2 linked regions of the Nothobranchius furzeri genome follow. The main gene of each other region encodes a partner of the protein of the gene in region 2 in a complex. Links are inferred from orthologs where the notes say so. Each region holds a gene or a part of one and is shown on either strand. Other genes may lie near its edges.

Region 1 (4,198 bases), on a different chromosome or scaffold from region 2:
GCAGTGCGCCTTTTATACATGTATTAAGGTAACTCTGGCCCAGCACGGTACCCCCCAGCGCCGTCCTCATCACCCTCACCTAATAAAAGGTGTGGCACTGCTCCACACAGCTATACCGGTAACCAGCCATGGCACCAGCGAAGAGACACACTTACGAGGCAGAGTTCAAGCTCAAAGCCATCGCTCACGCCGTTGAGCATGGAAACAGAGCAGCAGCGAGAGAATACAAGATTAACGAGTCGATGGTCTGCAAGTGGAGAAAGTTGGAAGACCAGCTGCTGCAGGTCAGTCAGTCAGTCAGTCATGCCGTTACCAGAGTTTAAATCTTCATTCTTGCTGCTAAAAGCACCCGTGCATTAAACTGGGCCATTTATGTTACTTTAATAATGAGAAATTTATTTTTTAGTATAGATAATGAGTGGAGTAACGTTTGACTTTGATCTAATTGCCCAATTTGCCTTAATTGTGCCGACCGGGACGCTTGTTTGCTTTGCTGGGTGCGTGTTTTGATCCAGTGAGCCTAATGTGCGGACCAAACCTTTAACTAGGACGCTGATTGGCTGTGCGCCGTATAATCAGGTGAGCCTTATGGTGCGGAAAATACGGCAGTTACTTTTTAAATGAATGAATCAGTAAAGTAACTACGTTACTTTTGGAAGGAGTAATCAGTAGTCAGAAATCAGATTACTATTTCAAGGTAACTATGGAAACACTGCTGACAGAGGCGTCAGGCTGATGAGCACAGGTACCACCGGTCTCTCTGAATCCCACCAGCAGGCAAGGTGAGTTAAGTGTCTAGCCCAAGGACACAACAGCAGAATTCTCTGTCCAGAGCCAGGATCGAACCTGCAACTGTCTGATTACCAGACAAGTCGCTCTACCTCCTGAGCTGCTGCTGCCATATGAGGCTGTTCCTCTCCACTTGCAGGATTAAAGCCATAAAAAACACACTATTGCACTTCTGGAACAATGCAGGGAGTAAACAAACCATTAGGTAACTTCTTTTGATGTAATCTACATAGATATGAAATCGCATTGCTGCAGTAGTCTTATTTTGAGAATTACCAGGGGTTTTACATTGAAACCGTGTGCGACTTCCTGTCTAGCCCTATGCTAACTGTGTAAATTGTTGTGTCCCAGATGCGGCTTGCTGCAAAAATAGAACCCATCCTATCTTTAGTGGCATGGCCAGCTGCTTCTGGGACGCGCTTGAAAATTTCCGCATAGTGGCTGGTTTGAAACCCCCCCATAGATTTTAATGTCTTCTCATTTGAAGCAGCGACAGTCCGTGCCACTGATGCTTCCAGTGTGAAGTATGGGTGAGTTTTCAGAGGAGGCAGGTGTATGTTAATTGGATCACATAACGATACAAGACCAAGCTTGTCTTGGCAAAACAATTTAACCTTTTTGTTGTTGGTTTCATTATTTTAGTGATTTCTTAAATCGAAGTTCAAATAAAAATGTGATAAATTGTACAGCTCTATTGTCACATAATGAAAAGAAAGCAGATCAAAATCAACACAAAAGACTCAGTAAGAGTTATTTTTAGACACAATGAAAGCTCGAAACCCACCTAACATTTCATCCTCAACTTTAGTATCAGACTTCTCCAAAACCTCCAACACCAGCATGGAAAGATCTGCTGCGCTGTTTTGCTGTAAAGTAAACCACAATGAACTCATGTTTGGGGCAGCATTATTGTCACAGAACGTACTGTAATCGGTAAACTTAACCCAAGCCACAAGTCAGGCTGTACAGTTAAAGTTATGGTTAATTCAGCAGGCAAAGATCAAAACTGTAAACCTGACAGCTGTTGTGTACATGCTAATTTCTAATGAAATGCAATTTTAAACATGAAATCTGCGGATGTTCTAGTCAAAAACGTGGGTGTGGTCTGTACCTGGTTGTAGCTGAAGAACAGCAAAGCACCGTTGTACATCAGCTCCCTCGCCTCTGCATGTTTTCCTTGTGACATATACCTGATGGAAGGCAAAGGGGAACGGAGTCGTGCACTTAAAGACAATCTCCTAAATCTCCCTAAGGCCAAATGACCATATACATCTGATAAAGTAAACGATAGGATTGTGACAATCAAGAAACGGACGGAATTAACTGAAAGAACATACATTTGAGGGAAATTGGCTTTAAACTGGGAGCTTTCTCGACAGCTTAGTACGTTTTTCAAGAGGGAGTAAGCAGTTAAGTCAGACCACAAAACTAGTATTCTACCATAGTAGGGTGGGATATGACATAGTTTATGGAATATGATATAGAAGTGAAATGCATCAAATCAGTCTGGTATAGCTCAAAATAAAACAAACTGTTTAGAAACACGTCGTTATTTCGTATTTTACTGCGAGGAGATAGCAGAAGGCTGCTTCCCACCTAGCGAAATGCTAACGCAAATGAACATGAATGTACTCGTTCACATAACTGCATTGTAAACCAACGAAAACAGTTGGTCGCTATTTTCAGTTTGTTTTCAGTATACATTTCATGATTAATACAGCCAAAAATAAGTTATCGTTGTCACATTTTACTCACTCTGCTAACAAAAAATTTGCTATCATCAGCTCGGTACTAGCGGTATCATTACGGTAAGCCAATAGCAATTGTTCTTCTAAAGATAGAAAGGATCACTGTCCAATCAAACACAAGAACCATCAAGGGAAGGCGGGACACAGAGCGAATACAACCAATCACGTACAAGCACCAGTCAAAGGTTTGACAGCGGAATGATCTGGAACAGGCCGGCCTGACCGTAACTACAAAAGCACATTAGAACGAACATATTGTGAAGTCTCACCTGAAAAATAAAGTTCTATACATTTGGTGGGCTTCATAGTAATCTCCCTTTTCTACGCTTGCTCGAAGCTTCCCTTCGACCCTCTGAACGCCTCCTCGGTTTCTAGCACTGGAGCACCTCAGGGACTCGGGCTCCGCCATAGCGATGCCTTTAGCAGCAGCAGCGACTAGCGAGAAGGTCCTGGCTGCGGCTCGTAGCAAGGGGCGGGGACGGGGCATACGGAGCAACTATAACATCGATGACTCTGACGACTTAGCCTTGTTCTTGTAGAGAGGCACTAAACTGAGAGGCACTATATTAAAAAAAATGTTTGTTCTTCGTATTACTTTTTTTTTAAATTGGACTGACTCTTCACAAAACAGCACACCTGGATGAACTGGGTCAATCATCACTGCGCCGCCTACAGGTTGTGCAGAACAGCGCAGCCAGGTTACTGACTGGGACCAGGAAACGGGACCACATCAATCCGGTTTTGCCCTTCCTGCACTGGCTTCCGGTCTGTTATCGTTCACACTTTAAACTCCTCGTCTTTGTTTACAATTTCTTCCAGGGTAGTGCTCCCCCCTATCTGGCCACGCTCCTGAACAGACATTCCCCATCACGCACACTGCGCTCCTCTGACCAAGGCCTGCTCGCTGTCCCTCGTTCTAGGTGTCGTACTCGTGGGGACCGGGCTTTCTCAGTCATAGCCCCGTCACTCTGGAGCCAGTTGCCACCCTCAGTCAGGCTATCCCCATCTCTGCCAGCCTTTAAGAGTCGCCTAAAAACCCACCTCCTCCGCTTCGCGTTCCCTGAATATGTTTGAGTTAGGCCTTCATTTATGTTAATTTTAATTCCCTGCTTTCATTGGTCTCTTTATCTCTTGTTTTACCCATTTGTTTTCTACTTTAATGTTTTTACCTGTTTTTCTCATGTACCGTGTTCAGCACCTTGGGCTTCGCGACAGGGTCACGAAAGGCGCTTTATAAATAAAGCTTGGATTTGGTTTGATTGATACGAGATACGTTGCTTGATTTCCTCTCGGAAGAGGTTTCTTTTGTCCGAATGCAGCAGAAAGGCATCTTGGTGCATGTAGGTAGAGGAGGTATCCAGAACTAGGAGAAGGATTAGAAGACTGCTTTCCTGGTTGACACCAAGGTCAATGATCTCATTATCACCGGATTCAGCATCAAACTCAGATCATACGCCGTGAACGGGGAAGAGTCCCATGACCTGGATGTCAGCTCCATAAAGCAACAGATGGCTGATTTTTTTTACAGACCAAGGGAACTGAGTTGGACTTTGGGAATATTGAGAGTTGCCACACTCTGTCCAGAAGAAACAGCAGAGAAAAAACAGCTGTCATCATGAAGGTTTGACATAATTAACCATGATTAAACCAGCATGACATCA
Region 2 (4,366 bases):
GTTCATCCTTTGTGTCCAACTCCAGCTCCAACTCATCTATCAACGTGTCCCTTTGACGGAGCTCCTCGATCTTCAGCTGCAGGGCAAACTGGAGGTCCCGAAGAGTTCCCATCACCTGTAGACAGACAGACAGACAGACAGACAGACAGACAGACAGACAGACAGATAGATAGATGATAGATAGATAGATAGATAGATAGATAGATAGATAGATAGATAGATAGATAGATAGATAGATAGATAGATAGATAGATAGATAGATAGATAGATAGATAGATAGATAGATAGATAGATAGATAGATAGATAGATGATATATAGATAGATAGATAGATAGATAGATAGATAGATAGATAGATAGATAGATAGATAGATGATATATAGATAGATAGATAGATAGATAGATAGATAGATAGATAGATAGATAGATAGATAGATAGATAGATAGATAGATAGATAGATAGATAGATAGATAGATAGATAGATGATAGATAGATAGATAGATAGATAGATAGATAGATAGATAGATAGATAGATAGATAGATAGATAGATAGATAGATAACAAATGAAATGTGTTTTGCATGCTCCAGTAAGACTATAATAGTGTTTCAGACACTCATCACTTACCACGTGCAGTCTGGGTATCGATCAGTACCTCTTCCTCACTCCCGTGAGTGCGTGCTTATTTGACTCCGTCCATCCGACAGGTGTGTACATCTCTCCTGCAAGTGCCCGAGTGAAAGATGCTTCTCCTGCTGGCCGGGACTGAGCAGGCAGCGTAGACAGGCAGTCACGTGACCAACATCTCGGAGACCATCCATACGGGAGGGGAGAGGTAATGACAAATGCGTGGACTGGATCCGAATTGGGTCAGACGGTCCTCGGAGTCCATCGGAACCAATGGGGAGCGTCAAACTGAGAATAGCCTTTCCCCCCAGCTAAAACAAATCAAAGGTTATCTGTGTGCACTCTGATAGCTCCTTCTTCTGTCCAATGAGGCGTTTGTGCTCCATTTCAATAGGTCCGTTTTACGTTAATCTGTGATTTATTTTATATGTTTTATTTGGCAACACATTGCAATTCAATGTAATTGCTACTCAGCGTTGTTTTGTGTCAAATTCATTTTTGCTCGAATATGGAAGTGTGAGTTCGTGAGGAAACATAATAAAAATAAGAACAAAGGCGATATATTTAAAACAAGCAAACTTGAAGCTGTTTCACAAAAGTCTAATCGGGGTATTTGGGGGTATTTCGGCTGTGAAATTAAAAGCCTGTTTTATTTTCTCGGGCGGACAGAATAGGCTTGATGTTAGACGACTACTGCAGGTGAAATATGCTGATTTTCACAAGTGTGTTTGAATCAATTGTGATTTTTTAAACATAATTTTCTACGTTTGAAATGCAGATTTCTGTTGTTTTCCAGTTTTGTTTGAAGGGCTGAGATATTCCTGCCAGACGGTGGCGCTGTTGTCAGTTGAGAGCAAGCAGTAGCTGCAGAAGAAACAGAGGAGAGTCGCAGAAGAAGAAAAAAGAAGAAGACGTTCCACTGAGAAGAGAACAATCTGTTTGCTCGTTACCAACCACTAAAGTAACGTTATTTGGGTACATTTTAAATCATTTAAAGTTTGAACCTCTTCGCGTGTGTTTGGTTTGATATTTTTGCGGCTCTCATAATGATTATCACGGTGAAGCCGCTTTCAGGACTGGAATGTAACATTCAGGTGAGTTAACGCATCATGATGCTAACTGCCGGTGTAGCCAGCACACCGATGGTTATTTATCATATTAGTTTGCAAGTAAAGGGAGAACATATATGCTTCTTTAGTCAGGAAATTAGACAAAACACACCATTCTATGTAGGTTATGTGGGGTTAAACCGGTTAAACATAAACATCTGAGACGAGTTTAAACGTTATCTCTACCGAAGCTGTCCTGCTAGTTAACACTAATGTCACAGGAGGCCTTAAAAATGCACGTTTTTATGCTTTATTGGTTGTATTTATTAAAGTGGAAGGTTGTGCGTGACTGTATGACTTGGACAAATGTTAGCTTGGAGTATGGTTGCTATGGTGATCGTAACAGGGAAATCACCCAGAACTTTAGTTTTTAAACCAAAGCATTCCGTTTTTAATTCGTAAACGTGCAGATTCCATTCAATTTCAACATTTGGAAATTAGATGTGTTTACTCATTTGTAAACACTTCGATCTTTTAAAGCACCGTCGCGTGACAATCAAAAGGTTGTATTTTAATAGCTGAGGTAAACTAAATTCCCAAATCATTGTGGCGTCTACCTTTGTCTTTAAGATGTGAAGAGTCTGATCTTGCGTAACTCAATCCCGTGTTACTACACACAGAAATAATTGATACGCTTTTAATTTCTTGTTTATAATGATTTTACAGATTTAAGTAGGTCTGGGGTTTGAGCCAACAGCGCACCACAGCCGAGACATTTTCTAATTTATGTAAATTAGGACAACGAAATCACGGTGAGCAAATTCAAAAGTTGTCATTTACATTTCTCACAAGCCTGATTTAAACTTTGCCCTTCAGAATAACATATTCATTGAAATTCGTTTCATTTTTGAGTCGGCAGCTTAAAGAATCTCATTATTCTTCCCTCTGGCTGAATCCAGTCTCATTAATGTTTGCTAGCGACTCGAGAAACCTGTCTATAATACCCTTCTCTGTTTCCTAAATAAACAGAAAATGTCATTACCAACAGTGAGTTTATTTAAAAAATGATACATGAAGTTGATGCAAAGTTAATTGCCTAAACTTTGTTACTGCGTCACTTTCGTCTCAGTTGCTTGTGCTTCTTTTACTTCCTCTCAGTGCTTCCTGTCCTTATATCCAAACTCACACAAAGAACCAGTCTTCTGTCTCTGCTTTTAACCATTTTCTGGTGTGAAAATGCAGCAAAAATTATAACAGGCTAGTAATTATTCTACATTATTTAATCCTGTACAAAAAACACAACTGTGGTGCAGTAATGAGTATAAGTTTGTATATTTAGCTGGATTAAAACACCACAAATAAATAATGCTTTTGCTTAAAGAGCAAATTGCAGGTTAGAGACTCAAATAAACCAATGTTTAGAGAAACATAATAGCAACTCGTTTTAAACTTTTTTTTACACATTCATAAATTATTTAGGCTTTTAGAGTCATTTTTGTGAGAGAGTTTTTTTTTTATTTCTTTGCCAAACCAAGTCAGCCGACGGGGTCCTGTTAGCTTAATCTAGAGAAAAATGTAGATCCTAATGTCGGCTCTGACACAGAGGAAACTTTAAATGTTTGTAATTATACTTATGATGGACCAAAAAAAAAAACAGCTGGCCCGCTGAGCCGCCTGTCTCTTCTGGTGGTCGGTTCTGACCTGGTTCTGACGGTGATCTGAGTTCCAGAAATCTGAATGTACTTTTTTAAACCCTGCCACGGGTCTCCAGAGCCCAGCGCAGACCTCCCTGTCTCTGTACCAACCGATTTGGGCTACAGAAGTCCCGTCTTTTCAGCTGCACAAAACGCCCTCAGGCATGTGAGATAGAGGCGTAGTTTCTCTTATCTGGAAACCCGTGGACTCGATGTCCAGAAAGGCTGGAGTTGGTACAGCCTTCACAAACTATAGTTTATCAACATGAACACAATCCAAAACTAGTAAACACACACGCTGACTGGATAACATGACCGCTCTACCCTAAAACTACCCACTCTCCACACAGAGCTGAGGCAGCGCCTAGCTTCTAACTCCCTTTGGTTACATCAGAGGTTCAGATTTAGAAAAAAAGAGCCTTTTTAGAAGCTTTGCTGAGAGAGGCCACTTTTTACTAGAAAACTGCTGTTTTTAAACCAAATATCCACAATAAGCATTTCAAAGAGTATGTTTGGACAGCATTTTATATGAATTAGAAAAAAATATGTTACCTGCAACTTGCTTTTTAAAGAGTTAGTCACCCCCTACAAGAAATTCACGTTACTCCCACTTCATCTTTGAAAAATGCAACAAATGCTGTTGCCTGGCAGACCGAGAGAGCGGAGCCGCTAACAAATAAACACAAACAGGCTCACAAAAGCATTGTGACATCAAAATGTACTAGCTAACGTCATTGCATACCTCTTAGCCAATAGCAGTGGCAGGTTTAAATTTAAATGTAGTGAAGAGGTTTTACCGGACGACGGCACAACACTGACAGTTTTAGTCAGAATATTTAAAGTCCAGGGGCCACGCACAACGGGGTTGGAAAACTGCGCAAGCAATTTTCCACGCAAACTTTGGAATTCATGAAAGAAAACTTTGCGGAAAATTGTGCGCAACTTTAAGTTGACTAAGGACCTGGCTTACGCACATTTTGGACATGGAGAGCACCTG

The links. The genes of interacting proteins can lie anywhere in the genome.
Region 1: ubl4a (region 2) and get4 share a complex: the UniProt entries of both Homo sapiens proteins name them as parts of the BAG6/BAT3 complex. The link is inferred for Nothobranchius furzeri from reciprocal best matches to the Homo sapiens genes UBL4A and GET4.

The regions. Positions count from the first base shown.
Region 1 is NC_091756.1:28,102,875-28,107,072, reverse strand, and holds the start of get4 (Golgi to ER traffic protein 4 homolog), read right to left. Parts: upstream 3,057-4,198; 5' UTR 3,025-3,056; coding exon 2,807-3,024; intron 2,795-2,806; exon of another isoform or gene 2,571-2,794; coding exon of another isoform or gene 2,545-2,570; intron 1,980-2,544; coding exon 1,901-1,979; intron 1,656-1,900; coding exon 1,574-1,655; intron 1-1,573. UniProt on the Homo sapiens protein: As part of a cytosolic protein quality control complex, the BAG6/BAT3 complex, maintains misfolded and hydrophobic patches-containing proteins in a soluble state and participates in their proper delivery to the endoplasmic reticulum or alternatively can promote their sorting to the proteasome where they undergo degradation.
Region 2 is NC_091757.1:40,380,122-40,384,487, reverse strand, and holds the start of ubl4a (ubiquitin-like protein 4A), read left to right. Parts: upstream 1-1,482; 5' UTR 1,483-1,672; coding exon 1,673-1,720; intron 1,721-4,366. Other genes in the region: prkg1l (cGMP-dependent protein kinase 1), read right to left, coding at 1-112. UniProt on the Homo sapiens protein: As part of a cytosolic protein quality control complex, the BAG6/BAT3 complex, maintains misfolded and hydrophobic patches-containing proteins in a soluble state and participates in their proper delivery to the endoplasmic reticulum or alternatively can promote their sorting to the proteasome where they undergo degradation.